Cricetulus griseus: one gene and its partner. The protein of the gene in region 1 binds, or shares a complex with, the protein of each later gene. Links are inferred from orthologs where the notes say so. Each region holds a gene or a part of one and is shown in the gene's direction. Other genes may lie near its edges.

Region 1 (16,490 bases):
TGGTGCCAGAAGACCCCGCCCCCTTCCTGGGCGGGGCCCTTGGCAGGGACTTCGGAGTTACTAGAGGCAGCACTCTGAGCCCTGTCCGTCTGACCGCTCCGACGACCCCACAATGGTGACTTTGCCTCGGCAGTGCGTGCTCTGGGGCTGCTTGTTGACAGCGGTGAGTGGCTTCTGTCCCGATCCCAAGGGATTGGAGAGTGGGAGATGGAAAGAGGAGACAAGACTTCTGGGACCTTCCTAGCTGATTTGGGGGGAAGGCGGGAAGGGCTGAGTAGGGCGGGCAAGATCTCTCTGGTCTTGACTATAAAATAAGGTGGGTTGCTCCTCTCCCCTCCCAGAAGGTTGGGGTTCCATTCCGTGTAGTGCACAGGGGGAGCTTAGGGAGGGCATACCTACACAGAGGTGCCGGGACAACTTTATCTAATCCAAGCCTGGGCTCAGGAGCTGGCTGCGGAGACTGGAAAGTGGGTTCCGAGTGCACAGGAAGGTAGCCTGGCTAGGGGAAGGGGCGGGTCTGGCCGGTTTCCTGTCACTTTCCCATTGTGGATAGACGCCTGTCATCAGTGGTTATGTTCTCCCTGCTAGTTGGGCCACTTTTTCCAGGGCATCTTGTGGGAACAAGACCCTGGGTACTTTCTTGGTAAGAGGTGATCTAAACCCGCCACACCTGACATAGCCAAGCCAATCTAGGAGGAATCCCAGGTTGATGCCTCTTCCTCTTGCACCTAAGATGGCGGAAGAGGTACCCAAAGAGAGGAATAGCCATGGAACCCACGAAAGGGTGAAGAGACCAGCCATGGTTTCTCCAGGCACCAGAATGGCTCAGACCCAACCAAGCGTATCTCCGGGATTTCCAGAAGCTATCACTTGATTGACTTTTGGTTTAAATGTATTTCTGCAGTTCCTCATTCTGGAGGCTGGGAATCCCCTGACTACCTGAGTCTCATCCCCGCCCCTCTGGCTGGGCTCCCCGTGTTTTCAAGCGCTGTAGAATCTTTTTGGTTTGGAGACAAGGATTTAGGTGTTTCAGCCAACTCCCTCCGACTTGTCCAGGTGTCACTTGGGCAGGTGTCATGTTACAGGCCTGGCTTCAAAGGGACAACATGACAGGGACATTCAGTGCCCTAAGCATATGCTATCAACCAGCTGAGTTGAGAGAGAATCTCAGGTGTCAGAGGTTGACCTCAAACTCGCTATATAGTTGAGGATGACTTTCAGTTTCTACCCCCCCCATTTTTTTGAGTGTGTACTGTTTGTATGTGTGTATACATTTGTGTTGATACATGTGTGTTCTTGTATGTGGTTGCCTGAAGCTGCTATGAGTCATTCTCGGACACTCTCCACCTTACTCATTGAGGCAGGGTCTCAATCAAACTCAGAGCTCCCCATATGGCCAGTCTCACTAGCCAGCTTGCTTTGGGGATCCCCCGTTTGCTTTGTAAGTCTGGAATTACAGGAAGGCCACTGCAAATACCTGGCATTTGCATGTGTTTCTGGACCTGAACTCTGGTCCACATGTTTATGTGGTAAGCACATTAATAGCTGAGCCCTCTCTCCTGTCCTTGAATTTCTCTGTAGTGCTGGGTCTACGGGCATGCATCACCATGACCTTTTTTTTTTTTTTTAAACAATTTTATTTATTTATTTATTTATTATGTATACAACATTCTGCTTCCATGTATATCTGCACACCAGAAGAGGGCACCAAATCTCATAATTGATGGTTGTGAGCCACCATGTGGTTGCTGGGAATTGAACTCAGGACCTCTGGAAGAGCAGTCAGTGCTCTTAACCTCTGAGCCATCTCTCCAGCACCACCATGACCGGTTTTATGTGGCACTAAGAACGGAACCTAGGGCTTCGTGATTGCAGTGCAGCCATTGTACCAACTCCAGCTGAGGGCTGGAGATTCTGACCTGTGGCCTGGGCAGGGATAACTGTGGGGGTCAGCAACAGGAGAGGAGACTAAGTGAAGAAGCTGCTTTCCAAGCTTTCATTTTCACTCTAAGCAAGTGGTTCTCAACCTGTAGGTCTCAACTCTTTGGGGGCAGGGAATCAAACAACCCTTTCACAGATATTTTTACATTACCATTCATAACAGTTGCAAAATTACAGTTATGAAATAGCAACGAAAATAATTTTATGGTTGGGGTCACCACAGCACAAGGAACTGGACTGCATTAAAGGGCCACAGCGTCAGGAAGGTTGAGAACCACTGCTCTGAGCAATGTCTCTTAGGGAGACAGGATGCAGGAGGAGGGTAGAGTGGGAGAGAAGTGGATGAGAGCCTTGTGGGTAGAATGGAGGGAGAAACAGAGGTGTGATGGAGGGTGGTCTGGACTACCTGAGGGCAAAGTCTGCCCTTGTGAGCTCCAATCTGGGCTCCAGGTAGCGGCTGGGCCCTGATGGAAATAGCAAGTGCTGTTTATCAAGGTCTTTCTGTACATGGGGCTGGGAGAGAGATTGCATATAGCCTCCATTTGATTTCTCCCGACTCCTCTGTTTCAGATGACCAAAATGAGGCTCAGAAAGGGGAAAGGGTTTGCCCAAAGTCTCTCAAGATGGATATGAATCAGTATCTGTCACGTGGCAAGGGGTCCCCAAGCTGTGGCCCTGAGAACTTTGTGGAGAACTTTGGGGAATGAAAACTGGGGTGGAGAGTCATCAGAGGAGAGGTGTCTTGTTTCAGTTGCTCAGCGATGCTGTCAGGGCTTTTATTGCTCTAGAAGTAGAGTGGGAAAGTCGATGCCTGGGGACATGCTGTTGTGGGAGGAGCTTTCAGATGCATTTCATTAAGTGATTTGCTCAGATACCCAGGTTGAATTAGAGCAATCCATTAGCTGAATCCTGGACAGACAGTCAGTTGCCAGGGTGCAGGGCACCCAAGCAGACACTCATATGTGTGAGCCGAATACAGCTGCCATTTGGTGAGCACTCACCATGGTAGACTGCCAGCCCGTGCACCTGTGTTCTCTCACATTCTCAACCCGACCTCTGGGGCAGGTGTTATAATTCCATTTTAAAGGTGAGGAAACGGGGCTAGAGAGATGGCTTAGTGGGAGAGGGCACATGCTGCCAGGTTCAGTTCTTAGTACCCACACTGGGCTGGCACACAAAACAATAAAAACAGATCTTTAATGGTGTGGAAATTCAGCCTCAGAAAAGCAAGATAACTAGTTTGTGTTACAGAGCGATTTGTCTCATTCTCAAACAAGGTCTCCCCACAGCCCTAGCCATGGGTATTTCTAGAATGTAACCCAACTTTAAGGAACATAATACAGGCTGGAGGGATGGCTCAGCAGTTAAGAGTTTGTGTGGCCTTTGCAGAGGACTGGGGTTGGGTTTCCAGCACCCACAATGGGCAGCTCACAGCCCCTGCAACTCTGGCTCCAAGGAGTTTCTGATTCGATCTTCTGAACTCTAAAGGACCTGTCCCCCCCACCCCACATATCCACATATAGACACATATCTACCCATAATCAATAACAAAATACATTTTATGGCTAGACAGATCCTTGGAACACTTCGCTTGTTGCTCTTGCAGAGGACACAGGTACAGTTTCTTAGCACCCACATGGTGGCTCACAACCAGCTTTGGCACCAGTTCCAGGGAATCCCGTGTCCTCTTTTGACCTCCAAGGGCACTGGTGCAGGCAAAACACTCGTACACATAAAATAAAGTAAATAAACCTAAAAAATGTTTAAATTCTTTTTGTTGTTGTTGTTGTTGTTGTTTTTCGAGGCAGGGTTTCTCAGTGTAGCCCTGGCTGTCCTGGAACTCACTCTGTAGACCAGGCTGGCCTCAAACTCATAGAGATCCGCCTGCCTCTGCCTCCCGAGTGCTGGGATTAAAGGTGTGTGCCACCACCACTGGTCTAAAACTTAAAAGTCTTAAAAAAAAAACAAAAACCCTCACATAAATCCTCAAGTACAGTACTGAGGAAATAGCTCAGTGGTTGAAGCACAAGCCTGAGGTCCTGAGTTCATCCCTGGAAACATGTAAGGTAGTGTGTGGTAGAAGTCTGCAACCCTAAAGCTCCTACAGTGAAACAGGAGAGTCCCCGAAGTTTTCAGGCCAGCCAGCTGGCCATATGCAGCTGAGAACAGCGACAAGACCCACTTTAAACAGGTGGCAGGTGAGGACTGCCACAGATGCTGTGCCCTGACCTCCACACACCTGAACTGTGGCAAGTGCATGCTCCAAGTCCCAAACAGGGCAATGCATGTGCGCACACACCAAAGCACAGACTCACTTTATAGTTCTTAAAGAAAACTTTCTCACTTTAAACAAAATTCATTTTTTATTACACGTATGTATGTATGTATGTATGTATGTATGTATGTATGTATGTATGTATGTATGCATGCATGTATGAGTACCACAGGGTATGTGTGGAGGTCAGAAGGCAGTTTATGGCAGCCGGTCTTTCCTACCCTGTGGTTCTCAGGGAATGAACTTGGATCATCAGGCTTGGCTGTGGGTGCCTTGACTGTCCTTAGTTTTCAAGGAGCAAGTCTCTGGAGTTAGACCATAGTTAATGTCCTTCCTCCTTCCCTCCTTGTCTTTTTTGTTTGTTTTTGAGACAGGGTTTCTCTGTGTAGCCCTGGCTGTCCTGGAATTCACTTTATAGACTAGGCTGACTGGCATTGAACTCTGCCTGCCTCTACCTTCCAAATGCTGGGATTGAAGGCCTGCAAAGGCACACCTGGCTAGCTAATACCTTTCAAAGACTTTTAAAACTAAAATCAAGACAGGCCCAGGGAGGAGGCACTCAGCAAGTACAGCGACTAGCTGAGGTTTACTAACCTTGTTAAGAGTCAGTTGCGTGTATTTTTAGGGTTTCTTTTTAATTTATGGGAAGTGATACTGGCTGTTCTCTCAAGGCAATAACAGACTTACAGTAAAGAGAAGTGTGTTTAAGTTAGCAAGTTCATAGCATGGGTGGCATCTATGCTATGGTGGAAATGGCGGGAGTGAAACGTGGTCGATGGAGAGAGGACATGTTGAGAACTTTGATTCTGTCCCTGTGGAACACTAAAAAAATGTAGCCTGACTTTAAGGATCACAATACAGGCTGGAGGATGACTCAGCAGTTAAGAGCATGTGTGGCCCTTGCAGAGGACTGGGGATTAGGTTCCCAGCAGCCATGCTGGGCAGCTCACAACCATCTGTAGCTCTAGCTTTTCTGATTCGCTTTGATTCGCTCTTCTGAGCTCTGAGGGTACCTGCCCGGTGTCTCACTCAGCCTCAGTGTTGCCCTCCATAGAATGACTCCTATCCTTCTGGCATCAGTTGATGTGGAGCTGGGGACAGAAAGCATGGTGGCACTCAGGAGAAGGGCTGAGGCCAGCTGGAGCCAGCAGCCGGCTCTACAGGAAGTTCTTGAGTTCTCCCTTCCTGCTGGGTCTTCGGGTGCACTGAGGAGTCAAGAGGATCTATTTGGGTGAGAGAGTTCTGAGTTCTTGCTTTATAAGATGGCAGAATGACTCTCTGGATGCCTTTTATAACCACACCACTTGGCAGTAGAGTTAAAATCAAGTATACCTCATACTGTGGGGGCTTTCTTTCTGCTTTGGATTTCCACATCTGCTACAGTCTGTGTTTTGGCTAACTTTCAACATGCCTGTCAGAGATCCCTTCCAGTTACACACTTCTGTTTTTAGGTCCATTTAGGACAATGCATTACATGCGATGACAAACAGTACCTCTTCAATGGCCGGTGCTGCGACTTGTGCCAGCCAGGTGAGATGTTAGCCTCTCCAGCCCCATACCAAGACCCTTCCTTCCCTCATGGTTTGCTGGCAGATACAGACCCTATGTATGAACTGTGAACTCAAGGCTAAAAATGGCTCATCCCCCCTCCCCCTCCTTGATGCCAGAATGCCCCTGGCTGCCTGCCCTGTGTCTTCTTCCATCTTCCCCACTTATATAGGGTCTGAGGTGGACCCAAGCTCCACTGCCCCAGGCCCTGGCTCACTGGGTAGTGACAGGATCTGTTTCACAGGATTGAAACTGCCTTATTTCCTTCTGGTATTTTACAGGAAGGAGACTAGAGAGCCACTGCACGGATGCCATCAAGACCCAGTGCCTTCTGTGTGACTCCGGCGAATTCATGAACAAGTGGAACAAAGAGCTCCGGTGTTACCAGCATACACACTGTGAATCCAGTGCGTGGGGCTGCTTGGGGAGGTGCACTTGAGAACTGGGTTGATATTCCAAATCATGACATCCCTCCGATTTCAGTAGCTAGGGTCTGTCCTTGTGGGTGGGAGTCTGGGTTGAGTTTGGGCTGTTGAATAAGTTAGTTAGTTGATCATCCTCTGTACCAGGAGGAGCATGTAAGAAAACAGGAGAGGATATGAGAAGTAGGACTCTTAGTGTGGCCCAGGGGGGTTTCTCATTCTTCCTTCTCATCTCTGATCAGAGGAAGGGCTTGAGGTTGAGAAGCAGGGTACTGCAGATACAGACACCATCTGTGCCTGTAAGGAAGGGCAACACTGCACTAGTGAGGAGTGCCAGAGATGTGCTCAACACACATCCTGTGGCCCTGGCTTTGGAGTTAAGCAGATGGGTAAGTGGCCTCCCTGGGAAACAGCTCTATGGGTGGAAGAAAAGAGCTGGGGTTGAGCAGTTGGCTTTGGCCCCCAGAAGCTGAGGGGATAGCGACTCCCACTTGGACTGGCATCTTCCCTCTGGGTAACAGGAAGTGGGATCTTTTGCATTCTGGCCTTGGCTATGGGCAACTTCCTGGGGAAGGGGAAGGGGACTCCTGTTGGGTTGCAGTCTTCAGGGCCACCACTGCGCCGGGGCAAGGAGCTGAAGGCAGGCTCAGGCTGTGACACCGTGACTCACAGAGACTCTTGATGCATCCTCCCCACATGCTCCCAGCCACACGGACTGCCGATACGGTGTGTGAACCCTGCCCAGCCGGCTTCTTCTCCAGTGGGTCATCAGCTTTTGAACAATGTCATCCTTGGACCAGGTAGAAGGGTTGCCTCTCCTTAACCAAAAGTAGTGTGGGTCTTGTGGCAGTTTCTCCAGTCACCTGCTGTTCAGTGACTCACTCGCTTGTGAATGTGCCCTCATGGCTGGCCTAAGGGACACTTTCTGCACTTTTTTCTTGCCTGCTCTTGCTTAGTTAATAGAATCTGGGTCTCCCTCCCTTCCTGAAGTCTCTCATCTTGAGGCACCACAGCACCCCTTTCTCTCGATGAATGTTCCTTGTCAGTTCTTCCGCTTTCTGGGCGTGTAGGTGTATGCGCACACTTGTACATACGTGTATGTGTACACACTCTTGTGTATGCATATGCATGTGTGCACGTGTGTGTGTGTGTGTGTGTGTGTGTGTGTGTGTGTGTGTGTGTGTGTGAGATAGCAACTTGGGGCATTGTTCTTCAGGTACTATCCACCTTTTTCTTTTGTTTGAGGCAGTCTCTCACTGGCCCGGAACTTGCTAAGTAGACTAGGCTGCCTGGTCAGGGTTCCAGGGACCCTCTGCATCCTCTGCAGCACTGGGATTACAACCATATGTCCCCAAGCCTGGATTTCTTTTTTCTAATGTGGGTCCTAGGGATTAAACTCATGCTTACAGGGCAAGTAGTTTCCTGACTGGGTTATCTATCCCCCAGCCCTTCTTGACTCTTAGTTGACTTTCTGGTGCTTTGTTTGAGTCCTCTTCTCCACAGTTACTTTTCCCCCTCTCCTGGGCTGTCTTATCTACATCCGTGGTTCCATTTCCCCCTGGATCTGTGGTTTGGGCCCCAGATGGTCAAGTCTTGCTGCTGAATGTAGAGCTTCCCCAACACCTCAGTCTCTGTATAGCCAGAATGGGCACCCAGCCAAGCCCCAAGGGAAAGGCAGGTTCTGGTTTGAGGCAGTCACATAGAGCCGCACACCTTTGCCTTCACCTCTACCTCAGTCAGGTCTATAGTCTGCTATGAGCGTCTTGGGAATCCACCTCTTTACTCTCTAGTGTGGTCTCGTGGGCCTCATCACTGTAGTGTGGTGATGGCTTCGTCTCTTCACAGGCTCTTTACCTCTTGGCTGGTTCTGCATTGTATTGCCATTGTGACCTTCCATAGCCCTTTTTGGATCACAGTACTTTGTGGCTTACAGCACTCCATGGCTCTCTGCTGCCTCTGGGAAGAAGTCCTGGCTCTGGGGTGGGGCTGGGGTCCGGCACGATCCTCTAACTCTCCCCCCATATCTTGTACCCTGCATTTGTACCCCTGAGCACACTGTTTATTCTTTTGCTTCAAAGTCTCCTGCCTGGGAGAACCCTTAAGTACATGCCCCATTAACTCTTTACATTTATTGTTTTAAATGAACAAGCCCCTCCCCTCAGGCTGTTTTCCCAGTGCTCCTTTCCAGAGATTCTTCTAGTAAAGAAGAAACAAACACACACACACACACACACACACACACACAGACAGACACAGACACACACACACCTTATACAAGTTGTGACCTACCTTGTATAAGGGCTCTCTTTCCCCTCCCCAAAGGCTAACAATTGCTTGAATGGAGAGTTCAAGCCTCCCCCCTCCCATGAGTCTCTACTCTGTGTTTGGAATGGTGCCACCTGAGGCACTCATCAGTGTCCACTGGTGGGTATTAGCTGATCATGGAGGTTCCTGTACCGGAGTCAAATGTGCGCCCGCCACACTGCACCACTTAGCTGGTGTGTGCTGCTGTTTCAACTTTTGTACCTTTTGGGGCCCTTCTGATCTTCCTTTGTGGATCCCCTAATTTGTCTCAGGGACCCTCTGCTTCCTATCTGGAATGCCCCTCCCCTCTGGAGGCCTCAGCCGACTGTCCACTCTTCTGCAACGTCTCCTGCATGAGTGACCTGGGAGCAGTTCCTCTTTCTAGTTAGGTCATGAGGCTGGGTGCCAAGGACACTCCATCATCACAGGTGCCTCCTTGACTCTCCTGTCACACTGGTCCCACCTGGCTGGCTCCCTCTTTCACATCCTTCGATGTCTCCATGGAGAAGTCTCCCCCAAAGACCCTTAACCAGAGACCCTTAACAGGGACCAGTTTTGCTCTCTATGGGACCTTGGGCACATCTGGTCATCTTTCAGATGCCGTAATTGGTTAGAGTGCTGTTCCTGGCATTTAGCTGGTGGAGACAGAGGCGCTGTGAAATATTCTGGGACTTAGGATGTTTCCCAGCTCAAAATACCTGTGGGTGCCAAGATGCTCCACTGAGAACCAAACTCATCCCCTCTCATTCCAGCCGTGAGGCTCCTGCCTTTGAACAATGCCCTCTCTGTTTTAGCCCTTATCATCAAGCCCGGCCGGTATCATCCACACTCCTGGCTATCCCTCCTTCAATATAAGCAGTAATTTTTCCTTTCACTTGTGTGCATGTTCCCGCCCTTCCCATAATGACCAGCTCAGAATGCTGCACTGTAAGCCACATGCTCAGTGAACCTGGACTTGCCACTTGCTGCCTGGCTCCCCTGGGCTTGGAAGTCTTATGGTTGGGGAACCCTGTTCTCTCTCTCCCTCTCTACATGTGTGTGTGCATGCACATACATGTGTTCACATGTGTCTTTGTGCAGCTGCGAGGCCAAAAACATGGTGGTACAGCAGGAAGGGACGAATCGGACTGACGCTGTCTGTGGTGAGTCCAGGGGAGAACGGGTCCTGCCTAGTGTTTTAAAGAGGACACAGAGACGCATAGGCAAGAGGCAGTTTGGGGAATAGTACTTCAGCTTGTATCTTGGGAGCTGGATGAGTCACATCTGCTGTGTGAGCCTCAGTTTCTTCAACTGTGAAATGGGTTGGCAGCAGCACCTCCCTTACTTGTACTCCCTTACATGAGAGCATGTCTTGGAATTTTACTATTTTGAAACTGTGAGCACAGTTCTGTTGCCCCTCAATTGAGGTGTGGGTGCACTGTGACACTGTCACCTGTTAGCCTTGGTTTGGATGCTAGGATGAGAAGCTTGACAAGAGGCTTGGATCACGACCTCAGATTCAGGGACTAGGTTGTCACTGAATGAGTAAAGAGAGGGGTAAGAGAGCTGGGTCTGGGGAGTGGGCCTGTCAGCACAGCTACTTAGGAATCTGAGGCAAGAATTTTGCAAGTTCAAGCCTAGCCTGGGAAGTTTGGGAACACATTGTCTCAACATAGAAAGTAAAAAGAGGGCTACTGAGACGGCTCATTAAGCTAAGCTCTTGTGCAAGCCTGATGACCCAGGTTCCCACACTTGTCTGGCATGTGTGAGGTCCTGGGTTAGACCCACACACTAATCTAGCAGGTGTGAAGTCCTGGGTTAGACCCACACACTAGTGTATGTGAGGTCCTGGATTAGACCCCCACACAAGTCTAGCATGTGTGAGGTCCTAGGTTAGATCCCCAATGCCAAAAAGGGAAAGGAAAATAAAGATACAATCTCTTGGCTTTTTCTCGAGATTGACTTTGTTCTCTTGGGAAGATGTGACTGGAATGGGTGACAGAAGCACAGGTCATCTGTGACATGCAATAAACTATTGTAAAAGGACAGCAAGCAAGAGAAAAAACATTTTGATATTATGCTAGAAAAAAAAACAACAAAAACCTGCGATAAACAAAAGAGCAAATTTTAAAATCGAGTAGGAGCTGGCCTTGCCAGATGTGTGGATCCTGCTTACATCATCCTGATTTTGACTCTGGTTCCAATACAAGTTTATTTAAAAGCCGTGTAGCCGCCTATGGGCCAGTGTTTGTGCTGTTGGTGTTTGCATCCCTATCTATCAGGTGGGTGTGGTGGTACAGGTCTACAGTCCCAGTACTCAGGGGGCTGATGCTTGAGAACCCCAAGTTCAAGGTCAGCCTGAGCCGATTAGTGAGACCCTGTCTCAAAGAGGATTCAATTTTTTTGTCTCCTTGTTATGGGGAAGTGGTTACACCCCTTGCTTCTGATGCCTCCTGCCTTTTGGTCTTTTTTTGTCACTTGGAATAGCAATGTAGACACAAGAGATACTTTATTTCTCTGCTCCACACTTCCATAGCAGATGTTAACAATGTAGACACAAGAGCTGAACAGCCGCAGCTAGGGAAGAGAGCAGGGGGTGTGAGAAACAGGCAGGCAGGCTTTCCCTTCACCACAAAGCTGGTGAAAGCCAGGTGGGAAGTTGGCTGACTGGGGTGTGTGTGTGTGATCCTCCCAACTGAAATCTCCCAGGGCTAGAGAGATGGTAAGAGTGTTTATTGTGCAAGCATGAACTAGGCATTGGGGTGACTGTGACCCCAATGCAACAAGAAGGAGAACTGCTGTAGCTTGTTGGCTGACAGACTAGCTCCAGGCTCAGTGAGAGACCCTGGCTCAGTAGAAGGTGACGTGACAGAGCAGGACAGCCTCTGAATGCACACACCTGCACATATGCCACACCCACATCCGCTGTCCCCCCACAAATACGCCATCTCTCAGTTCATAACCATTGGCAAATACCACAGAAGCATTTAAAAAGATCCCCTGATGCAACATTACCCACAATGCTGCTGCTTGAAAGCTCTGACAGCCTCAGGAGGTCCAGATGCTGGAAGACGCAGTTGCTTTGGACAAGGAGTGGGAGCATCTGCCAGTGGCTCCACTCAAGTCTGTCTCTGCAGGTGTGCAGTCCCGGACGCGAGCCCTGCTGGTCATTCCCATTGTGATGGCCGTCCTCATCACCATCTTCATAGCGGTGTCTTTCTGTATCAGTGAGTGCCCCTGTGAGGGAAGAGGGGGAGGACTCAGGGATGCAGAACCAGCCCTCCCAAAGCCTCACCCCTTCTTTTTCTCTCTAGAAAAGGTGGTCAAGGAACCAGAGGATAATAAGGTAAGCTGGAAAGAGTGACTGGTGGGCAGGTTGGGAGACTCATGCGTGGCACAGGGAGACAGATGACTACTCAGTGGGCAAAGTGCTTGCTACACAAGCCCAGGAACCTGAATTTAGACCCAATACCCACGAAAAAAAGCCTGTAACGTCAGGGCTGGCAGGGGACGTGGACATGCAGAGCTTGCTAGCCAGCCAGTCTAGCTGACACAAGGTACTCCAGGTTCTGAAAGAAACCCTGACTTAGCAAATAAGGTTGAGAGTGACATCGACCTCTGGTCTCCATGGGTGCATGTACATACGTCCAACACCACACTCCTTATGTATATGTACACACATGTGCTCGTGAGCGTGCTCGAGCACACACACACACAGAGGGAGAGAGAGACAGAGACAGAGACAGAGAGACAGAGAGAGATGGATGGGTGGGTGGGTGGAAGGGAACAGGCTCAGTGTCTGTCCCTGGGGCCAGTAAGGTGACAGTCGGCTACTCTTACCCCTACCCTGCCCTGAATCACGGTCTTCATTCCGTCCTCTAACTAATCACTTCCCCACTGGGAGGAGCCAGGCACCATTGGCAGAACAACCCTGCCCATGCTTTCCTTTGGCTTGGAACATAGGGAAGTCCAGCCTTTAGAGGCCAGAAGGTGGAACCAGAGGGGCAGCTTCTTCTGCTGGCTGACTCTGACTCTGGAAGTTTCCTGCCAAATTTCATGTGTCCAGCAGGGGGCAGGAGGTATCTGAGAAATCAGCTTTGATTATCACCCCCCCCCCAAGGGGAAGGGACTTGGAGGAAGGATTCTACTCCTCAGGGACAGGGTGGCTCTATGCCTAGAGGTGACCTTGGCTCTCACACCCTGGCTCTCCAGGCCTCACTCCCTGCTGTTGAAACGGGAGATCCTACGGAGACAGAAGATTGTCTTGGCCACAACACTGCTCCAGTGCAGGAGACATTGGTTGGGAGTCAGCCTGTGGCACAGGAGGACGGCAAGGAGAGCCGCATAGCAGTGCAGGAGAGACAACTGATGGACAGCATGGACTTGAAGCACCTGGTCTGAGATCTTGGAACTGTTGCAGTGGTGATGGCACGAGGGCAAGGGCCTGGCTCGGATGGCGGCTGACATTTGAGATTCGAAAGGAACAAAAACTGCCGCGCCTGCCCAGCTGCCATCCCTTGTCTTGCTTTTAAAGATGGAGGAAAAGCTTGGGCATCAGGGATCCAGAGAGTGCAGCAATACAGGACCCAGAGATGTATCCTGGTGGCTTTCACTATCAGGAGTCATGGACACCACAGTCTATGGCTTTGTGGCTTGTACTGTTAGAAGACACCTGATTGCCCATCAGCAGGGGACTGGCTAAATAAATCTGTAATGTATTTATACAACAGGATCTCAGAAATACTATCAACTGAAACAAACAAAAACAGGTAGTGGAATGGTGGGTAGAGAAACAACCTTTAAAAACACATACCCAGGCAAGTAAGATAGCTTTTGTGGGTAAATTGCTAGCCACCTGATTTTTATCCCTGGGACTACATGGTAAAAGGAGACAACCAAATCCAGAGGATTGACATTTGACCTCCACAGGCACTCTGTGGTCCATGTTCATGCATGCATGAGTGTGTATGTGCATACCCCAAGATGGGAATGGTGGTTCATGCCTGTAATACTAGCACTCAGGAGGAAGAGGCAGGAGAACCAGGAGTTCCAGGCCAGCCTGGAATACATAGTGAATTGAAGGCTAGCCTGACCTACATGATACCGTCTCAAAAACAAACATTAACTGGGTGGTGGTGACACATGCCTTTAATCCTAGCATTAGGGACTCAGAGACTGGTAGATCTCTGAGTTTCGAGGCCATCCTGGTCTACAGAGTGAGTTCCAGGACAGCCAGGGCTACACAGAAACCCTGTCTTAAAAAAAATGAAAAACAAAACAAAAAACCACTAAAGAACAACAGCTTCTCCCAACATCCAAAACAAAGCACCTGAAGCTGTCACATACCCTTCCTTAAACCGTATTTAAGCAGGCTGCACACTGTGCTTGAACACAGTCTATGTAGATATGGAAGGAAAGCTATGATGCTGTGAATAGGACATGTTACATGTGTTACTAAGCACTGAAAATCCAGACGGCAGGAGTGTGTCTCAAGAGGTGGCCGAGTGGTTAAGAGCACCGGCTCCTGTAGAGGGTCTTGGTTTGGTTCCCAGCGCCCACATAGTAGCTCACAGCCATCCAATTTCAGGGGATCTGATGCCCTCTTCTGACATCTATAAGCACTGAACATATATGATACATGTACATACCACACAGGTAAAACACGTGTACACATAAATGAACTGTTTTTTTTTTTTTTTTTAAAGAGTGATGAGGTCTGGAGGTAGGTTGTGTGTGTGTGTGTGTGTGTGTGTGTGTGTGTGTGTGTGTGTTGGGTTTCCCATAATGCTTCATTATCTTTCCAAGGGGACAGTAGATTCATATAATGCTTACATAATTAAAAAATCATCAAACATGTACAAAGGAGACTAAGGGTAGACATGCCAGGTGATGAGATATTTAATTTGCTATTAGAATAGAAGAATTAGGTATTTTCTGAGCTCAAGTAAGAGTGTCCCCAGACTTCTGGGCCTCCAGGGAATTTTGCCGGTGTGCTCACATTCAGTGGTAAGTTTACGAGGCCTCGGGTTCACAGAAGTAGCCTTCTAGGACAGGCAAGGTCTGTGTCCCCCCCCCATTTTACAGGTGGAAGGAATGGGTATGGAGAGGGGGAATGACTTGCCAATGGTGACACAGTGGTGTGCAGTGGCCCATGAACTCCTATTCTTGGTTCCAAGCTGCTTTCCAGAACCTAGCCACTGTGGACACTAGCTTCCAGGGAGACCCTGGGTCCCCCACTTCCTTCTGACCTCCTCTGTGCTTCTCAGTCAGATGGTGCCCTCTCCTGCCCCACGGCAGTGTCTCAGGATAAAAATAGAGCATCCTGTTCTCTTTTCCTGCTGTGCCATCTGAGGGGGAGCCTAGCCAGGAGGAGCAGCAGATGGAGTGGGAGCAGAGGGGAGGGGAGGAAGGCTGGGGGACAAGGAGCGGGAGGAGGAACCATGCCAAGGAGGTGCCTCAGAGAGACTCCTACACAGGCTCCCACTGAGGCTTAACTCATAGGTCTCAGACACTTGTGGATCCCCCTAGAGGTCCCACTGCTTGGAGGGTAGAGATGCCATGGCTGGTCCTGATGGAGGCTGGGGGTGGGAGGTGCCGCTGAAAGCCAAGAGAAGGACACCTGGCTTTGGCAGTCTTCCCAGAAGAGCTTCCAGGGCCATTTGGAGGCACCAGGTGGAAGCTCTAGTTTAGAAAGCAGAGGGAAATGGGGTGGGGGTGGGGTGGGGGACTTTGGGACCTAATCCTCTTTCCCTGCCTAGAGCCCAAATGTTGGTGGTCCTGACTTGCTGGTGGTGGTGTGTGTGTGGTGGTGTGTGTGGTGGTGGTGTGTGGTGTGTGTGTGTGTGTGTGTGTGTGGTGTGTGTGTGTGTGTGTGTGTGTGTGTGTGTGTGTGTGTGTGTGTGTGTGTGTGTGTGTGTGTGTGTGTGTGTGTGTGTGTGTGTGTGTTGGATAGAGGCAAAAGACCCACCTGTCACTTGTTATCTGAGTAAACTTGGGAGAGTCATTGCCACCCCTTTGCTTCCCAGTTTCTTACCTGCTGCCACATTCTTCTAGCAGGTGCTGTAGGTGATGGTTGCTCTCCTCTAGGTTAGAGGTTCTTGGATTTGAAGGAACACAGTGACCAACTGTGAGGTTTGTAGACAGACAAATTGTTGGGCCCTACCTCCCATGTTTCTGGTTCAGATCTGGGACCAAGATCAAGAATTTGCATTTCTAGCAAGTTCCCCAGGTGGTCCCGATGCTGCAGGATCAGAGAACATACTCAGAGAACAGCTGCCCTTGGCATTCACACTGCTGACTAGGCAGTGGATTTCCTGTTGGCTTTGGGATCGATGGATGGGGCTTCCCCTGTCCCGAATACTTGCCTTCTGTGGCTGCAGGCCAGGCTGGGGGGAGTTAGTGTCTGGGAGCACATACTCTCAATCCAGCTGAGTTGAGGCAGGGTTTAGCCAGGGGGGCCTAAAGCTCACCATATAGCCCTGGACTTCTGATCCCATGGTGCTGGGGATTATATGTGTGTGCCACCATGTCCAATTTAATTCACTTCTAGGGACTGAATCCAGGGCTTCATTCATGTTAGGCAAGTAGTATGTCAACTGCACCCCAGCCATGAGGGGTGTCTACACTGCTTTGTGGCCTCCCTAGAGTGATGGAGTCCCATGTGCCCACAGCGAGCACATAGCCCCGTTGCTTTCTGTTTGTTGCTTTCTAGGTTTAGTTTCCCTCTACTGCTCCCTGGCTCAACTCTCTGCCATACCACTTGCCTCCATTCCTGTCTGCTTCTGGAAGTTTCTGCAGAACCAAGCATAGGAAAGTAACTTTAGTATCTCTTAGCATCCAGCTTAGCCACGAGCTGTCTGCAATACTGGGCACGGGCAGGGGGGGTATGGACATTTGTCACACATCTCTGATAAAAGACTGGCTCCCTAAAGGTCTGTCTCAGTCTGAATATTGTAGGGAAGACCAGCCAGCCTACTCCCTTACAGGCACTGCTCTTCTGTTGGCACATGGAGGCGTGGCTG
Region 2 (15,980 bases), on another chromosome or scaffold:
CCTTAGATAACCGATTTCATCTGAGTTCCAGTTTCTCTTGTATAGCATAAGGGGGGATGAGACTCTCTATAAGGACACTACCAGCCCTGACATTCTCCTACTATGTGATCAGTCTTCAATTTCCTTGAATGGTAGTAAAAGCAGCTTGTTGGGTTTTCCATTTTTCCTTCTCACAGAGAGGATTCACAGGTCATCTGCCAATTCCCTTTCTCCTTATTCAGGTCTGATGTGCAAAGCTTCCAGATTCATCTGCCCAAGATAGGAGCAAGGACAAAGAGTCGGTTCTGTTTGTATGAAAGAAAAAAAAAGTAGAACTTTTTAGGTATATCAGCCAAGGCCCTAGTAATGTACTAGATACCTGTCAGGGATACCCCTTGCTCCTTTTGCAGCAGCTATGGAGCTCCAGGCAATGTCATCTTTACCTAGGATTTTAAAAAGCTGAGATGCAAAGTTATCCAGTTAATTTTCTTCTATCGACTGGTCCCCTTTTAGATCACCATTTCCCTAGAGGTCTCGCTCAGAAACAGTATTTGGAACTTCTTAGCCCAGCAAGTCAACTATAGACTAAATCCAGATTAGATTTGTGTTTTCTCTGCTAATACTAGCGGGCTTTAGACTATGATCTGGCTGGCCAAGAGTAACCTTGAAGTCACAGGACCAGATGCAATTCTCAGTTCTTAGAATTTCAGTCTTCTCTCTACCACTTCGAAGTGGTCACCCAATTTTCATTTAAATACCTCTCATGACAAAGAGCTCATTATCTTCAGTGACAAGTGCCACAGAGCTCTCATTGTGGGAAGGAGATGGGAGTCAGAGCTCAAGTTAGGGCAAGTAGAGGCACCATTTTGAACAGTGTAATTACACATTAAAATCTACCTCACTCTGTCTAGAATGGTCAGTCTCATGGTTATCTGTCTATCAGTGTCTGAGGTGCCTTTGATGACATAAAATCATTCCCATTTCAGGTTAAAGGGTGCTATATCCATTGAAACAGAAATCATTAATCCAAGATTTTTCTGAAATTTGATTTTAATAAGGCCTTTCATTTTAAGTGAAGTACAAAAAAAAGGCTCTGGGGAGTGTGGCTGGGGGAAAGTTCACGAAAAGGCAAGACTGGGTGCATAAAAGACAAACTCTGCTGACTTCACGTTTTTCATCTGGGCCAGGTCCCAACACCACTGCAACCACCTAGCCTAAAAGTAGTATCTTAACTTCAATCATCACACAGTAGTGTTTGAAAAGACACCAGTCATTTGTTTACTTGTTAGCACACAAACATTTTCCTGTGGCCGCATTGTCATAGAGCCCCATTGCAGCTCAAATGGAAAGTTGGTCTGTGGAGCCCATGTGAACATCTGTGGAGCCCATGTGAACGTTTTGAGGCTCAGATTCCACTTTGGGACTCCGTGCCTTAGGTCCTCACATCTGGCAACCAAGCTGAGTGTACAGCTAAAGTAGTTGAGAGTTACAACACAAATGCCTTCTTGGGGTGATGAATGTGAAGATATGAGGTTCCAGGAATGTCAAGGAGTACAGGACTCTCAGATGTGGGTGCACTACTATTTTCTTTCCTCTCTTGTTCAGAGTAGAGTGATGAAACAGACTGAGGCAGGCCTGTGGATATGATCCTATGTTCTGAACTTCATTTAATCCTCAGACCCTTTGGATAACCTCATACTTGCTAGGCCTTTCATTCATTTTCATTCTCCTTAAAATGGCGGCGATAGGTGTTATCATCTCTCAATCTACATAGAAGGAAGTCTGGGTTAGCTTCCTTAAGTCAGTCTAGTATTCTTTCACCTTATAAGTAAAAGAAATCTTTAAGTGTTGCATCTAGCTAGTCATTATGGTACATGTCTGTACTCAGCATTTGGGAGGTAGAGGCAAGAGGATCAGGAATTCAAGGTCACTCCCAGCTTCATAACAAGTCCAAGGTTAGCCTAGGCTACCTAAGAACCTGTCCTAAAAACACAGAACAATTTGCATAGAATTTTCTAAAGAAATAAATAAAATAAAATCTTAAAAGAGAAACAAGAAACTATGTGTTTTGAACACCATCACCAGCATTAGAAGATGGCCTATATTTGCTGAATGTTGATTAATCTACATAAGTACAGGCCACACGGGATAGCTATCCACAAAAGCACATTCAAAGAGAAAGTCTGGATTTCTCTCCCATGATCATATTCAAATATTTTCCTATGAGGTTTCAAAGCAACCTTATCTGAACAGGCCCACACCCCACATTGTGTTTGATAATATTCCACACGCCAGCTCCCAGTGTTGAATTATTGCCCCATTCAGCATTATTCATCAATATCTGTCACAGGCATTGAGGTCAGGGTCATAGAAAGGGTCAGAATCACAACCTCTGGTCTTGGGAGAGCACTGTAATGGAGATAATAAGGCCTGGATTTTGCTTCTAGGATCTCCCCTGAGTTTTCTGGGCTGTCAGCTCATCTGTCAGAGCCAGGAACTCCCAATTGCTATGATGGAATTAATGACAGCATCTTAGTCTATATTATAATCCTCACCAGGCACGGACAACATAGTTGCCAAATGAATGAGACCCTGAAACCCCAAAATCAGAGCTTCTGTCAACTGATCTTTTGCAATGATTCTCCTTTTAGGATATAAAGTTAAACACGGAAGAGAAAAAAGAAAACAGCTATGAAATGCAAAAAGGTATGTTGCTATTTAGCTATTTCTACAAGTTCTTAAAGAGTAAGACCACATGAAACAGAGAACATTTAGCCCTGGAAAGAAAAGACATTTGTCAAATAGGTACCCTCTCAGGCCTCAGTGATAGAAAGGCTTTTTATGTCCATACCAATGAGGGTATGTTCCTGTAATGTTGGTAACATCAAATATGAAGGAACCCCACATCCAATACCTTTATCCAAGCGATTACACAATCTGGCTCCACCTTCAGAGGACCAGATGACAAGAAAGTCATCTTTTGGTTAAAAAAATGACATTCATCATTCAATGATAACTATTTTATGAGAGGATGGTACCCAGTGGGTCTCTGGGATCAATGGACACAATACTACATTCTAATCTTTGCCCTGTTCTTGACGTGAGAGTGTCCTGGACATCTAGGGGTCAGAAAGGGGCCTTGACGGCTCTCAGACCCAGTACACTCTTGAGAATATGAATCCCCTTAAAAGCATCACTGAACAAATGACCTCTGCTCAGACTTGTCTAGAGATAGGATGCCTTACACTTAATAAGACAACTTGGACTATTTTTGAACAGCTCTAATTGTTAATTATATTAAGGTCAACATCTATTCAAAAAAGTCTTACCTCAAATTCCTGGAATGTCTCCTTACTGGACACATTACTGTTCTTTAAGGCCATACTAAACATAGAATAATTACTCCCTTATATGAAAGCTGTCTGGTTACTGAAGACAGCAACCACGACCCCGAGTTTCCATTGAATTTTTTCTATCTAGGCTAAAGATACCCAGCACCTTCCACTCTTCCCTTTATGATCCTTTCAAGGCTCTTTCCTCTCCCAGCTATTTCCTCTTCTGAGCACAACTCTCCCCAGTCCTTTGAGAATATAGCACCCCCAAACCATGATATGTGGAGTGACTTTAGTATAAAAGGAGGAGTGCTGCTGCAGAAGCTATTATACTGCAAAGTTATTGAATACAATGCTGCAGCTACAGAAATCTAATGTACAAGAAGAAATGCATACATATAAAGACAGAAATTAGATTTCCTTAGGTGAAGAGAGTGCTCTGAACCTGTCTCAACCACGGGTCTGATGCCCAAGGCTCATCTGATTCCCCTGAAGCTTTCATCCTCACAGTGACTATGAGACATGTTCAGTGATGCCATGTTATCTGCTAATTGCAGTGAGCTTTTAAGGAAAAGCCCCTGTGGATGTAGGTCTTTCAGGTAATGCATAGTTTTGTCATCAAAACATCCTTCATAATATACCTACAAAGTTCTCAAAATCATTATAACTGGAAAGAAAGCTCCTACGGATTCTATACTTAGGAGATGAACACTTTTAATTGGGAAGCAAGGCTCTTGCAAGGGAAAGAAAGCTCAGTTTGATAATCTGGATAGTCACTTGAGCAAATCAGACACGATAATCATGTTACTAGCTCAGTGCCCAGCCACAGCTTTGGTGTCCACTACCATTCCAGTGTATGGCAGTTGTTCTTGCTTTTGTAAGATTCAAGACAGATTTATTGAAGACAAATGTTTTGGCTTGTGTCCATTCCGTGTTAAGTGGAATGGAGTATTGAATATCAGAGAAAGGGATCAATGGAAATAGCCAATAAAGTTTTTTTAATGTATTAGAAACTACCTTTTCCTTCAGTGGGAAGGATTAGTAGACCAGTTTTCCTTCCTTTAAGGTAAACTGCTCTAGCTAATATACAGTTGTAGAACAGTACCCATTAATTCCACGTGCAGTTGTACATTTCGTTGGCCTGACAGTGTGCTTTTGGTTTCACTTCAGGTGATGAGGATCCTCAAATTGCAGTACATGTTGTGAGTGAGGCCAACAGTAAAACAGCATCTGGTAAGTCCCATAGCATCTGAGTGAAAGCCACCCAAGTGTTTGAGTGTGTGTGTGTGTGTGTGTGTGTGTGTGTGTGTGTGGTGTGTGTGTGTGTGTGTGTATTGCATGCACGGGGAGGGGGTACTCCAAAGCTATGCAGCCTAATCATTAGGCTCTTCTCTTCCTCCAGGGACCAATTTACAAACCTACCCATATAACTCTCAAACACTGTCCTTTGTTATCAAAGTCAGCTCAAATGCACAGCTGGGACTTAGAGCGGCAAAAGGAGGTGGGGAAGAGTCCCGATGTTCTCATTATGTTTTTGCTCAGTGGCTGATTCTAAATGATGAATGACTGAGTGAAGGAACCATTATTTTACAAGCATAAAAAGAAATGGCAGGTAGTGGCCTCCTCACTGGGAACATCTGTCCTCCTAAGACCTCCCCACTGTACATAAATGGGTCTCAGGAGGTCTTTTTGTCATCTGTCAATCCCTGTATGATTAACCCCAGCCTCAGTGGGGCTGACCTCAGGGAAATTAAAGGTAAAAATCATTTTGTAATGATCAATAGGCGCCAAGAAGTTAGATTTTTCAATGAAGTAACAACAGATGGCATATCGTGATCTTTTCAACACCGAATGCTTTTATTTCCACATATATCCTACCATCATCCTAGCCCATATTTTCCCCCAAATCTCTGCCTTGTGAAAGCTGATGCTGTAGAATGTGTCACATCTGTAGATGGATGGAAACGTGTGTGCTAGCATAAACTCCCCATGTATACAAAGGCATGAGCATCAGAGCAGCATTTGAAAGCTTCAGCAGAGTGCTCTACAATGGACTTCTAAGTCATGTGTTTGTGTATGCGTGTGTGTGAGAGAGACAGAGAGGGAGAGAGAGAGAAACACAGAAAAACAAAGAAGACAATATCTTGTCTCTGAGGTGACTTGAGCTACTCAGGGTATAACACAGATGCACATACTACATGATATTGTGGCTCACAGCACAAACGTAAGAGTCCTGGTTAGGGAGTTCATGAACACTGGGTTTCTAGAGCCAATAACCACATACTCATTGTCTTTAGACAAATCCCATTCATTCTGTTGCAGTTTTCTTTCTCACATACTTCCCAGAGTAGTTTTGGATATCAAATCAACTAATGTGGGAGAAGAGTTACATTATTAAGCTATGCTATACCTGAGTAAGGTGCCAGTACTTAGCTTGCTTCACTGTAATATCCAGAAAGTGACATAAAGTCCTTCATGGAGACCAGTTGTTCCTATAATATTTATTAATTTTGTCATATAGCATTCTCTAAAAATATGCTTACAGAAAAGCACCACAATTATTGCTGTAGCCAGGGAATCCATTCACATGATATATTCACTTTTGCATTAGATTATAATAACAGAGAAACCTCTTAGAATCACTTCCTACTGATCTTTATCAAGTTCCACCTAAATCTTTTGGGACTTGGGTATATTTAGTGGAATTTTGAATTTTTCAAAAGGCCTACTAGAATTGGCACTGCCTGTGAAATATCTCACAGTCTATATCACAGTAGATCTATCTGCACAGGACAAAATAGGAAATAGTATAGGACACTGTAGCTCCAAATTTCTCATTCTTTCCTGGACATGATGCTATAAACTTGACCTACATGCCCCAGAAAGAACTTAAATGAAGTAGGGAATTAAAAAGGGGAAATCGGGGCCTAATGGCACATATCTGTAATCTCAGTGCTCAGGGGTGGGGCAAAAAGGATTAGATGTTTAAAATCATCCTAACCTACTAAGCAAATTCCAGGACAACCTGGGCTATAGGGGACAGAGGCAGGTAGCCTGGTCTGCATAGCAAGTTGCAGGCCAGCAAAGGATATGTAGTGAAGCCCTGTCTTAGAAATGAAAAAATGCAAGGGAAGACCCAATTCATTAAACAGAAGAGAATCTGCTCCTTTTTTTTTTCTAAATCAAATCGTCCAAAAGTGAAAACATCATAAAACAAACATCCTTTATGGAGAATGTCAGGTACCCAGAAATACCAGGTGTGGTGAGATGCCTTCTTACCCCCCCAAAAAAAAGTCTGAATAAGAAGCATCTTATGCTGTAGGTGATGTAAAGCCACAAAATAAATTATTTGGAAAATCTCAAGAAAGCAAATATATCACTACTTTTAGTTCTCCCCACCTCCCACCCATTGCCCCCATCAAACCTAGCTCTCTGTGGAAGCTGAGATTTTAAATCATGTACACACATGACTTTGAACCCACTCAACATCTCAGCAGAGAAAATGGTACACTGTTGGTGGGGACTCTGCTGTAGCCACAAGAATATGGGTACTTTCATGTTGGTGGCACCCACTACAAGGAGAGATGAAAACACAGTTAAATGAGCACATGGTTTATTTTCATACTTCCTTGCCTATTTTAGGCTTGGTCGTGGGAGGCAGGTCAGGCCTGCAACAGCATAAGGTAGAAGGAAGACATAGGGTCTTGTCTCTGAGCTGTCGCTAATCTAGGTGGACTGACAACTATAGAACTCATGATAAGCTAAATATTCACATATTAGCAAGAATTTTCTGTAATGCATAATTCTGAAAACATTAGCACTTCACTTTCAAACCATTTATTCATTTGTTCATGAATTCATGTTTGCATAAGTATGTCTGTGTGTATGTATACTTCAGTGAATGGTAGTGGGAGTACACAAAGAACAGAAGAGTGCACTCTTGTCTCATCACTGCCGACCTATTCTCCTGAACCAGGGGCTTTCTTTGAACCTGGGACTCATGTTTTCTCACGTAGGGTCGATACCAACATGTCTCTGTGATCTGCTCTTACACACCACCTCTCCAGTCCCTTTTGTATTGCTGTTTTGAGACAGGGTTTCACTTAGCCTAGGCGGATCTCAAAGTCATTATGTGGCCAAAGATGACATTGACCTTAAACTCAAGATTCCCCGCCTCAGTGTCTGGGAATTCTAGGTGCATATCACCATGTCTGGCTGATCATTTGCACTTTTCTTAAATTTAAGGGCAAATTGGTTCTAAAGAGAGAAAGCTTCCTGTTACCTGCTAATTTATTTAACTTTTCAATGTCTCTAAACTATGCTTTCATATTGTCCCTATTCTGTTGCTGAGGAACTTAGGCTTGGGGAGATCAAGTGACTTGCCCAAGCTCAAAGAAAACCCAGGTTTCAAGCTTACACTAACTCTGAAGCCCATGTAAACTTGGTATCTATAATTTCCCCATGCTTCTGTTGTCCATATGGTGCCTTGAGAACTCATTCTCACATGAAGTCAACATCCAGCCTTAAACTTTATTTCCTGTTAGAATATGTGCCATGCTGTGCTTATGCTCACCAGGGTTTCCCCCTCTTTGTTACAGTTCTACAGTGGGCCAAGAAAGGATATTATACCATGAAAAACAACTTGGTAATGCTCGAAAGTGGGAAACAGCTGACTATTAAAAGACAAGGACTCTATTATGTCTACACCCAAGTCACCTTCTGTTCTAATCAGGGACCTTCGAGTAAAGATCCGTTTTTAGTCAGCCTCTGTCTGAAGTCCACCAGTGGATCTGAGAGAATTTTACTCAGGGCAGCAAACACCCACAGTTCCTCCAAGCCCTGTGGCCAACAATCTGTTCACTTGGGAGGAGTATTTGAATTACAAGAAGATTCTTCTTTGTTTGTCAACGTGACTGATGCAAGCCAAGTGATCCACGGAATCGGCTTCACATCTTTCGGCTTACTCAAACTCTGAGCTGTGTGCTGTCCTAGGCTGCAGCAGGGCTGATGCTGGCAGTCTTCCCCATACAGCAAATCGTTAGGACCCGCCCCCTGTTGAACTGCCTATTTATAACCCTTGGACCCTCCTTATGGAGAACTATTTATTATGTATCCCAAGGCACTTAGAGCTGAAAGAAGAAATTTCCAGGGCAGGCAAAATCCTAACGGACCCTGCTCCCTAAGAGCTTATCATCAGAAACAGCAGCTCTGCTGATGCATCCAACCAGAGAGCCCTAGGAAAAGACAAAGCCATAACGCACAGATGACAGAGCTCGGATGAAACAGTAGATAACTGATCAAGCCAAGTTGTGTTGCTTTATGAGTGTGTCTTTCAGCGGACAGTGCACTTGACTTACCAGGAAACATGCAGAAGGGCAACTGTGAGCCTTAGCTCACAATCTATTATGGTTGACTTGGGGTCTTCGTGGCCCCAGTAGGCCAGTTTCTAAAGTCTCCCAAGGAGAACTGAGAAACTCTGACTCCACCTTCCCCCCAATACCCAAAACTCAGTCTTCCAATCTCTCCAATCTCTCTCTCTCCTCTCTCTCTCTCTCTCTCTCTCTCTCTCTCTCTCTCTCTCTCTCTCTCTCTCTCTCTCTCTATACACACACACACACACACACACACACACATACACATACACACACACACACACACACACACACACACACACACACACACACACACACACAGAGTCATGCTGTTGCTAACTGGTTCTCTTATTATCTACCCTGTCCCGGTCTACAGCACTGTCAGGGCACTATAGACAGCAGCTCCTGGCCTGCCCATTCCTCCTCATGGAATGACTATATTTAAAGGAATCTGGTGTAGCCCCCTGCAGTCTCCATTGTTCCTGTAGTGAACTTAATGATTATGTTATTATTTATTTTTGAATAATAAAGAGCCTTTACCATTATTGTTGTTGTTTAGTACTTATAGCTCTCCGCCAAGTCGGGGAGGAGGAAGGAAGCATTTGGAGGGACTTTTGCCAACATTTTTTGCTGTTACCATAAAGTTAGTTCTCAAGCTGAACACACAGAAAGCTATCTCAGTGACAGAATGTCCTCTGCAAGTGTGTCATAGCCTTTGATAGATGACACAGAGCCCAGTTGGTGGAAAGCACTATGGGCCTCGAATTCTAACTTGGTCTGTGAAGGTTGCAAGAGATTGACATTTTAAAAATTGATCACAGCTAATAGAGACTGGAGAGAGAAGCTTACATGAGAAGCAGTAGCAAATGTTTTCAACAACTGTTTAGGTGGTTCCACTTTTAGCAAGAGGAAACGGAGCCAGAGCGTCGTGAGGGTGGTTATTGGCCCTACAGACTTCCCACTAAAGCCAGTGGAGTCACCTCTTGCAACCTCCAACTGTGGAGTAATAAATGAGGATGTAAGAAACTCAGTTTAACCGGGGGAATGTTTTGCTTAACAGAAACACATTCATAAAAAAAAATACTACTGTAAAAATGAAGAGCGGGTGGGCAAAATGTCTTTCCTCGTGCCCTTGCTCTTCAATAGTGCGGATGACACAGCTGCATCGTGACTGGAGCTCTTGCATCATGACAAGCCAGTGTAAAGCTGAAACCATGCAGAGACAAACTGGTGTGTCTGCACACGCCACCAACAAGAGACCTTTGGTATGAACAAGAGTGCTGTTTGTGGCTTTTAGGAACTCACTAGAAGTTATGCACACTGGGTGTTTCTGCCCTCCAGGAGCAAAGACCCTTCTACTATATGAACTTCTGGTCGGGGTCAGGGTGGCTTCCCTGTAGAGGGCCTTTCTGGCAAGTGTGAGGCCCTAGAGTCCATGTAAAGTACTGCAAAAGGGAAAAAAGCATCAACAGACAAACGTGAGGCAGCAGCCATGGCAGCCTAATAGACAGTGGCCATGATGTTGTTACACTGTGGGCCACCCTTACGAAGGCCAGAATCCTAAGCCTCCTTTAAGGAAGGCATTGGCTGAGTCAAAAGAGAGTAATAAAACACACAACATAATTCTCTCTTCCTTAAGGCAACTGAATGTCCATGTTGTGGAATAATCTTCCTTATGCATTTTGTCTGAGGTAGAGTTTGTCACCTGGATAGGCTTATTTTTCTTTTACTTTTTATACATTTTAATTAAGATATAATTACATCACTTTCTCCCTTTCATTTCCTACCTACAGCCCTGTCCAAGTCCCCTCCCTCCAGTTCCTGCCATGTCCCCCTCTCTCAAATTGATGACAGTCTCTTTTTATTTGATTATTACTGTTGCATATATATAAATTTACAAGTATGCACAAGTACATGACTATAACCCACTGAGTTCATTTTTGTTGTTTATGTGCATATGGTTTCAGGGCTGACCACTTTGTAAACAGTATCTCCTAGAAATGTCTGTACAAACAAGACCAGAACACCCAGGCAGATCTTTAAAAATAATCTTCATAAACTCATGTTCTCTGAACTTAAATATTACTCCGTGTTTTAGCCAACCTTCTTGTTCCTTGGGAGCCATTATCTTCCAAACTATTTCTATTTCTAGTAATGATATTTTTTTCAAAAAAGCAGAGCAGGATGATGGTGTACAAGCGAGATATAAGCATGGCTTTGGGGAGAGGAAGAAGGATTGCAACAAATTCAAGGCCAACGTGGTTTACACAGTGAGAAGCAGGCTAGCCTGGGCGGTGCACTGAGGCTTTTTAATCAATTAATTAGTTAAATGTTTGTAACCAGAAGTGATATCATGGATAGAAAACACTGCATTTTTTTTTTTGTTCAAGATAGAAAAGGAGTGGATGGGGAGGGGGAAGATGGGAGTTGTGGGGGAAGGAGGGAACAGCAGGAGAGCAAAGGGGGGAACTGTGGTGGGTGTGTAAAAGAAAAGAAAAAAAGCTAATTAAATAAAATGAAAAAGTAAAAACCACTGCATTTTCTAGGCTGCCTCCTCTTTTCCTTTAGTCTCTACTGCCCTCTAGATGCTGCTTCCTCTAGTCTGGGAACTTGTTCTCTAAAGTTTCACCCCAAGTAGCCAAAGGTGCTCAGCCTCTCACCCGGTCTCCTCAAGGTACCCTTGCTCTTTTGAAAGACTCTAAGTGCGGCCCTTCACCTTCTCCTAAATGCCACAGGCTCTCCCTGCTAGATTCACGCTTTGAATAACCACCTACATGTTATTGGTGGAATACTGGTGGGATAGGGGTGTTGGGATTTTTATTTGTTTGTTTTGGCTATGCTTTTGAGATGGGGCCTCCCTCTGTAGCCCAGGCTGGCCTAGACCTCATTATGTATTCCTTGCTGGGATCAAATCTCTGAAGATCTTCCTGCCTCCAATTCCCATCCTCCTGGGATGGCAGGAGTGAGACACTTTACTCAGGTAATAGCTTGAGTAATTTTCCTGCGCCTCAACAGTGGGCTCAGGCCCTTATATCTGATGCACAGAGATGGAACTCCGGATCTTGTTACCTGTATGGTAGCCTCTTCTTTCAGTGTTGCTCATTCCACGGAATGCCATCTTTCTCTACCCTGTTTAACAAACGAGAAACCTGACTTGACCAAGAACCTTCTGCCTCCACCTCCCAGGTGTTGAGATTATAAGCCTATGACACCATGCCTGGTTGGTTCAGTACTAGGGGTTAAACCCAAGGCTTTGTGCTTGCTAGCCCATAGTGCTGGCTTTATAAACATGTTACTTCTACATTTCATGGAACAGTGAGGCAGGAATAATTGAAACATTCACTCATTTTTTTCTAAGTAAACAAACGATAAAATATTGCTGTCTTTGCTATCAGATAGGAAGCAAGTAACCACAAAATGCAAATGTGTGCTGCAACACTTTCAGCACAGGAGCACCCCGCTTACAGAGAAGCAGCTATAGACTCCTGTGTACCAGGCTTTTTCTTTTAGGCCACCAACCAGCTCCCAAATCATGACACAGAGACTTATTCTTAGTTATAAATGCTTGACCTAGATTAGGCTCGTTTCTGGCTAGCTTTTGAAAATTCACCTGTTTCTCTTTGTCTACCTTTTGCCTTGGGGCTTGTTCCCTTTCTTATTGCTGTGTATGTGACTCTACCTGCTTCTTGATGTCTGCCTGGTTAGCAGGTGCCCAGCTTCTTGCCCTGGGTGTGTCACCCCTTCTTTCCTCCTCTTCCTTCTCTTGTTCTTCCTTTCTCTCCTCTAGAACTTAGAATTCTCCTATTCTCTCTCTGCCAACCAACCCTGCCTATCCTTTCTCTGCCCAGCTACTGACTGTTCATCTCTTTATTTGACCAATCAGATGCCTAGGCAGGGTGAAACAGATGCAACACATCTTTATATAAATAAACACACATCCTTACATTGTTAAACAGATGCAGCATAAACAAAAGTAACACACCTTTGCACAGTTAAAGTAATATTCTTCAGCATAAACAAATGTAACACATCTTTACAAAGTTAAAATAATATTCTACAACATTCTTGGGCTTCCAGATGGGACATATTTTGCAGTGTATTCAACTATCGCCACAGGACCAGATTCACAATACTGAGAGCTGCTCTCCCTCAGGACTTTAAAGTGGGAAGGCACCTGGAACTAAGTATGACTGTTAATCTGTTCTTGCTACAGTGTTACGGTTAACTCTGGAGCTAGTCAAATAGAATTATAATCCAGGCTCCACTATTTATCGACTTGATAACTGTGGACAAATCATTTAACGTTTGGGTCACTGTGTCTATATCAGGAAAGTGGGGACAGTGAGAATATTGTATTTCTAGGGTTGATAATGACTCAACAAGAGGGTACACAGAAAGTCCTTGTGGAATCTGCTCTCAGGCTGTTCATCAAACGAAGCACACTGTGAAACCCAGAACAGTGCTCTGCATTCAGCGCTGCAAGTAGGAGGGCTGGGAAACCTAAGGTGGTTGGAACGTTGCAGCCAAGGATCCTACTTGGCAGCTCTGACTACTGAGAATCCTGAGGTGGTACAAAGAAGGCACTGAATGTGGAGTGAAGGGAAAGCAAGAAAAAATACAAAAAGGAGAAAATATAATTGGAGTAGGACAGACTTCTGTGAGGGAGGGATAGGAGATGAAGGGAAAGGGAAGAAAGGGGAGGAGACAGACAGAGAGAGAGAGAGAGAGAGAGAGAGAGAGAGAGAGAGAGAGAGAGAGAGAGAGAGAGCAAGCATAAGGGGACATGTGCAGCAGTGCACATCTGTGAATCTGTAGCTCCAGCATTAGGGTGCCTGAGACAGAAAAGCAGCAACTTCAAGACCAGCTGTAGGCTGCACTTGAGTTATCTGAAACCAGTTTGAGAAACATACTGAGATACCATCATTAAAAAAATTGACACTGTTGGGTATTGAAAAGCATTTCCCTAAATTTGACAGTTCACTGCTTGACTGGAGATGTGGCTCATTCATAAAATGTTTTTATGTCATGCTTCAGGCCCTGGGTTCAATACCCAGTAGCCCATAAAACCAGGCATGGTAACACATGCCTGTAACCCAAGAAATCAGAGGTAGAGGCAGGAGAATTAGAAGTTCAAGGTCACCCTGAGCCACATAGTACATTTGAGGCCAGCTTGGGATACACAAGACCTTGTCTCAAAGAAACAAACAAAAAGGAGTTCACTGAAGACTTCACAGGGGTTGACAGCTGATGTAGAAGCAGTGCTTAAACAGGTACAAAGGGCAGAAGGGGAAATGGGCCACATAGAGCATTAAGCCCAAGAGATAAACCAGAAGATAGTCTCAAATCGCATCCACCACGTACTGCCATGGAAGTCAATATCGCTGTACTTTTATTCATCTGTAAGATGGAGAGAACCAGCAAGAAAGACCTGATAGGATCACTTGAGCTTCGCACGACCCTAAATATGTGGATCATTTAATACCGTGCTTAGTTTGTGCGAGGCACAAAGTTAAATGTAACTGGTCAAAGCAAGAAAGAAGCAGTCAGACAGCTTGAGCAGAAAGTTAATTTGATAGCTACAAAAATGCGGGGTCATAGAAGTGAGAGGCGGTGCGATTCTGGTGAACTAATGGCCTCCAAGTCATCCCTTGGCAGTTGTGACCCAAATGTTAGGAAGCTGCTGCTATGACCACTGCCTGGCACTGTTATTGCTACAGTGTCACCCACAAAGATTGAGCAGAGAAACTGCAATGTGGACTACAGACACCAGAGTATCTGGGGAACCTCCTGCAGGCCACCAGAAGACAGACTTTGTCTGAATTATACTCCCCCATCTTCTTAGCATAACTGGAAATGTATGTGAAACCTCGCCGTATTTAGAACCCTTGCTGCAAGACTTTGGAAGAAAATGTATGTTTGCCCTTATGCTTTCAGGGGAAACAATGGTATAGGAATAGTCAGTGTGGACCACTAAACAGTATCCAGTTCAATTTGCCTCCTCTCCTCTCTCAGTCTGTATAGGGAATAGGTCGACATCAGGTCTCTTTGCACATGGCTCATGCATCTTTTGGATTTTTTGAACTTTATTATTATGATGTGTGCATATTTAGGATGGAGAGGGCATGCACTCAAAGTATCACAGGTAGGGAGAGGTTAGAGGACAACTTTGTGAAGTTGGTTCTCCTCTTCCACTGCTACGGGTGTTCTGAGGATTGAACTTAAATCACCAAGTTTTCATGGCAGACACCTTTACTCGCTTAGCTATCTCACCAGCCCCACATTAGTTTTGGAGCTAGCCTCTCACTGGCCTGAACTCAGTAAGCAGCCTAGGCTGGCTGGCCAGCGATCCCCAAGAATCTACCTGTCTTTGCCATTTCAGTTCTGAGGTTATATGTGCGTGTCACCACACCACTTTTACATGTATTTTGATGATCTAGCTCAGAGTCACTTGCTTTTACGGCAAGAATTTCATCAACTGAATTATCTCCCCAGCCCACAGTTCAAATACTTTCATCCTGACTGCTGACACCAGAGACCACAATTGAAAACATCACAGATTGACAGACTGTTGTACAATACAAGAGGGATGAGTACATGGATAGGACAATGAATGTATTTTTAATGTTGGAAGGAAAATTGTGAGATGCACTTCAAGTGGTTTGTTAAGTTGAGGCCAGAAGATGAAAGCTAGAGAAGGGAAGGGAAGTTCTATGTCACCATAGATGACATTTGCTCACTACTTTACAGGGATGATCACACTAGGAAATAGACGCTTAAGTGGAAAACGTATGTTGGGGAAAGCCTGATGCGAATGGACTAGCTAAAATTTCCAACCTCAACTTATTCCTCACCATTTCTAAAAGAAACAAAATCATATGTTGAAGACCGAGCTGCATTCCCATGTTCATGGCAGCGCTATTCACCTAGTCAAGATCTAGAATAACCTACAACTGCGCATGGTGGTATGCACCCTTTAATTGCAGCACTTGGGAGCCAGTGGCAAACAGATCTCTGTGAGCTCAAGGTCACCCTCCCTGGTATATAGAGTGAGTTTCAGGCTGCCCATGGCTACACAGTGATATCTTGCTTGAAAATAGATAGATAGATAGATAGATAGATAGATAGATAGATAGAATTAAGGTATTATATGAATAAAAATGTGGTAGATATGTACACACAATGGAATACTACTTGGCCTTCAAAAAGAAACTAATTTGTAACAGCATTAATGAACCTGGAGGGAATCGTTCTACATGAAATAAGCCAGGCTTGTTTATAAAGATGAACACTGCACATC

What was found.
Region 2: the proteins of Cd40 (region 1) and Cd40lg are in contact, whole or in part, in a crystal structure (PDB 3QD6), measured with the Homo sapiens proteins. The link is inferred for Cricetulus griseus from reciprocal best matches to the Homo sapiens genes CD40 and CD40LG. Residues at the interface, in NP_001241.1 of Homo sapiens: Glu64, Ser65, Glu66, His76, Cys77, Gln79, Tyr82, Asp84, Asn86, Leu87, Trp109, Cys119; in NP_000065.1 of Homo sapiens: Ile127, Glu129, Ala130, Lys143, Gly144, Tyr145, Tyr146, Cys178, Pro217, Cys218, Gln220, Ser245, Gln246, Ser248, His249, Gly250, Thr251, Gly252.

Annotation. Positions count from the first base shown.
Region 1 is NC_048599.1:14,348,576-14,365,065, reverse strand, and holds Cd40 (tumor necrosis factor receptor superfamily member 5), read left to right. Parts: upstream 1-112; coding exon 113-163; intron 164-5,667; coding exon 5,668-5,746; intron 5,747-6,045; coding exon 6,046-6,171; intron 6,172-6,428; coding exon 6,429-6,575; intron 6,576-6,892; coding exon 6,893-6,986; intron 6,987-9,570; coding exon 9,571-9,632; intron 9,633-11,606; coding exon 11,607-11,696; intron 11,697-11,783; coding exon 11,784-11,815; intron 11,816-12,681; coding exon 12,682-12,870; 3' UTR 12,871-13,053; downstream 13,054-16,490.
Region 2 is NC_048604.1:15,198,505-15,214,484, reverse strand, and holds the end of Cd40lg (CD40 ligand), read left to right. Parts: intron 1-2,630; coding exon 2,631-2,685; intron 2,686-4,481; coding exon 4,482-4,544; intron 4,545-7,909; coding exon 7,910-8,286; downstream 8,287-15,980. UniProt on the Homo sapiens protein: Cytokine that acts as a ligand to CD40/TNFRSF5. Costimulates T-cell proliferation and cytokine production.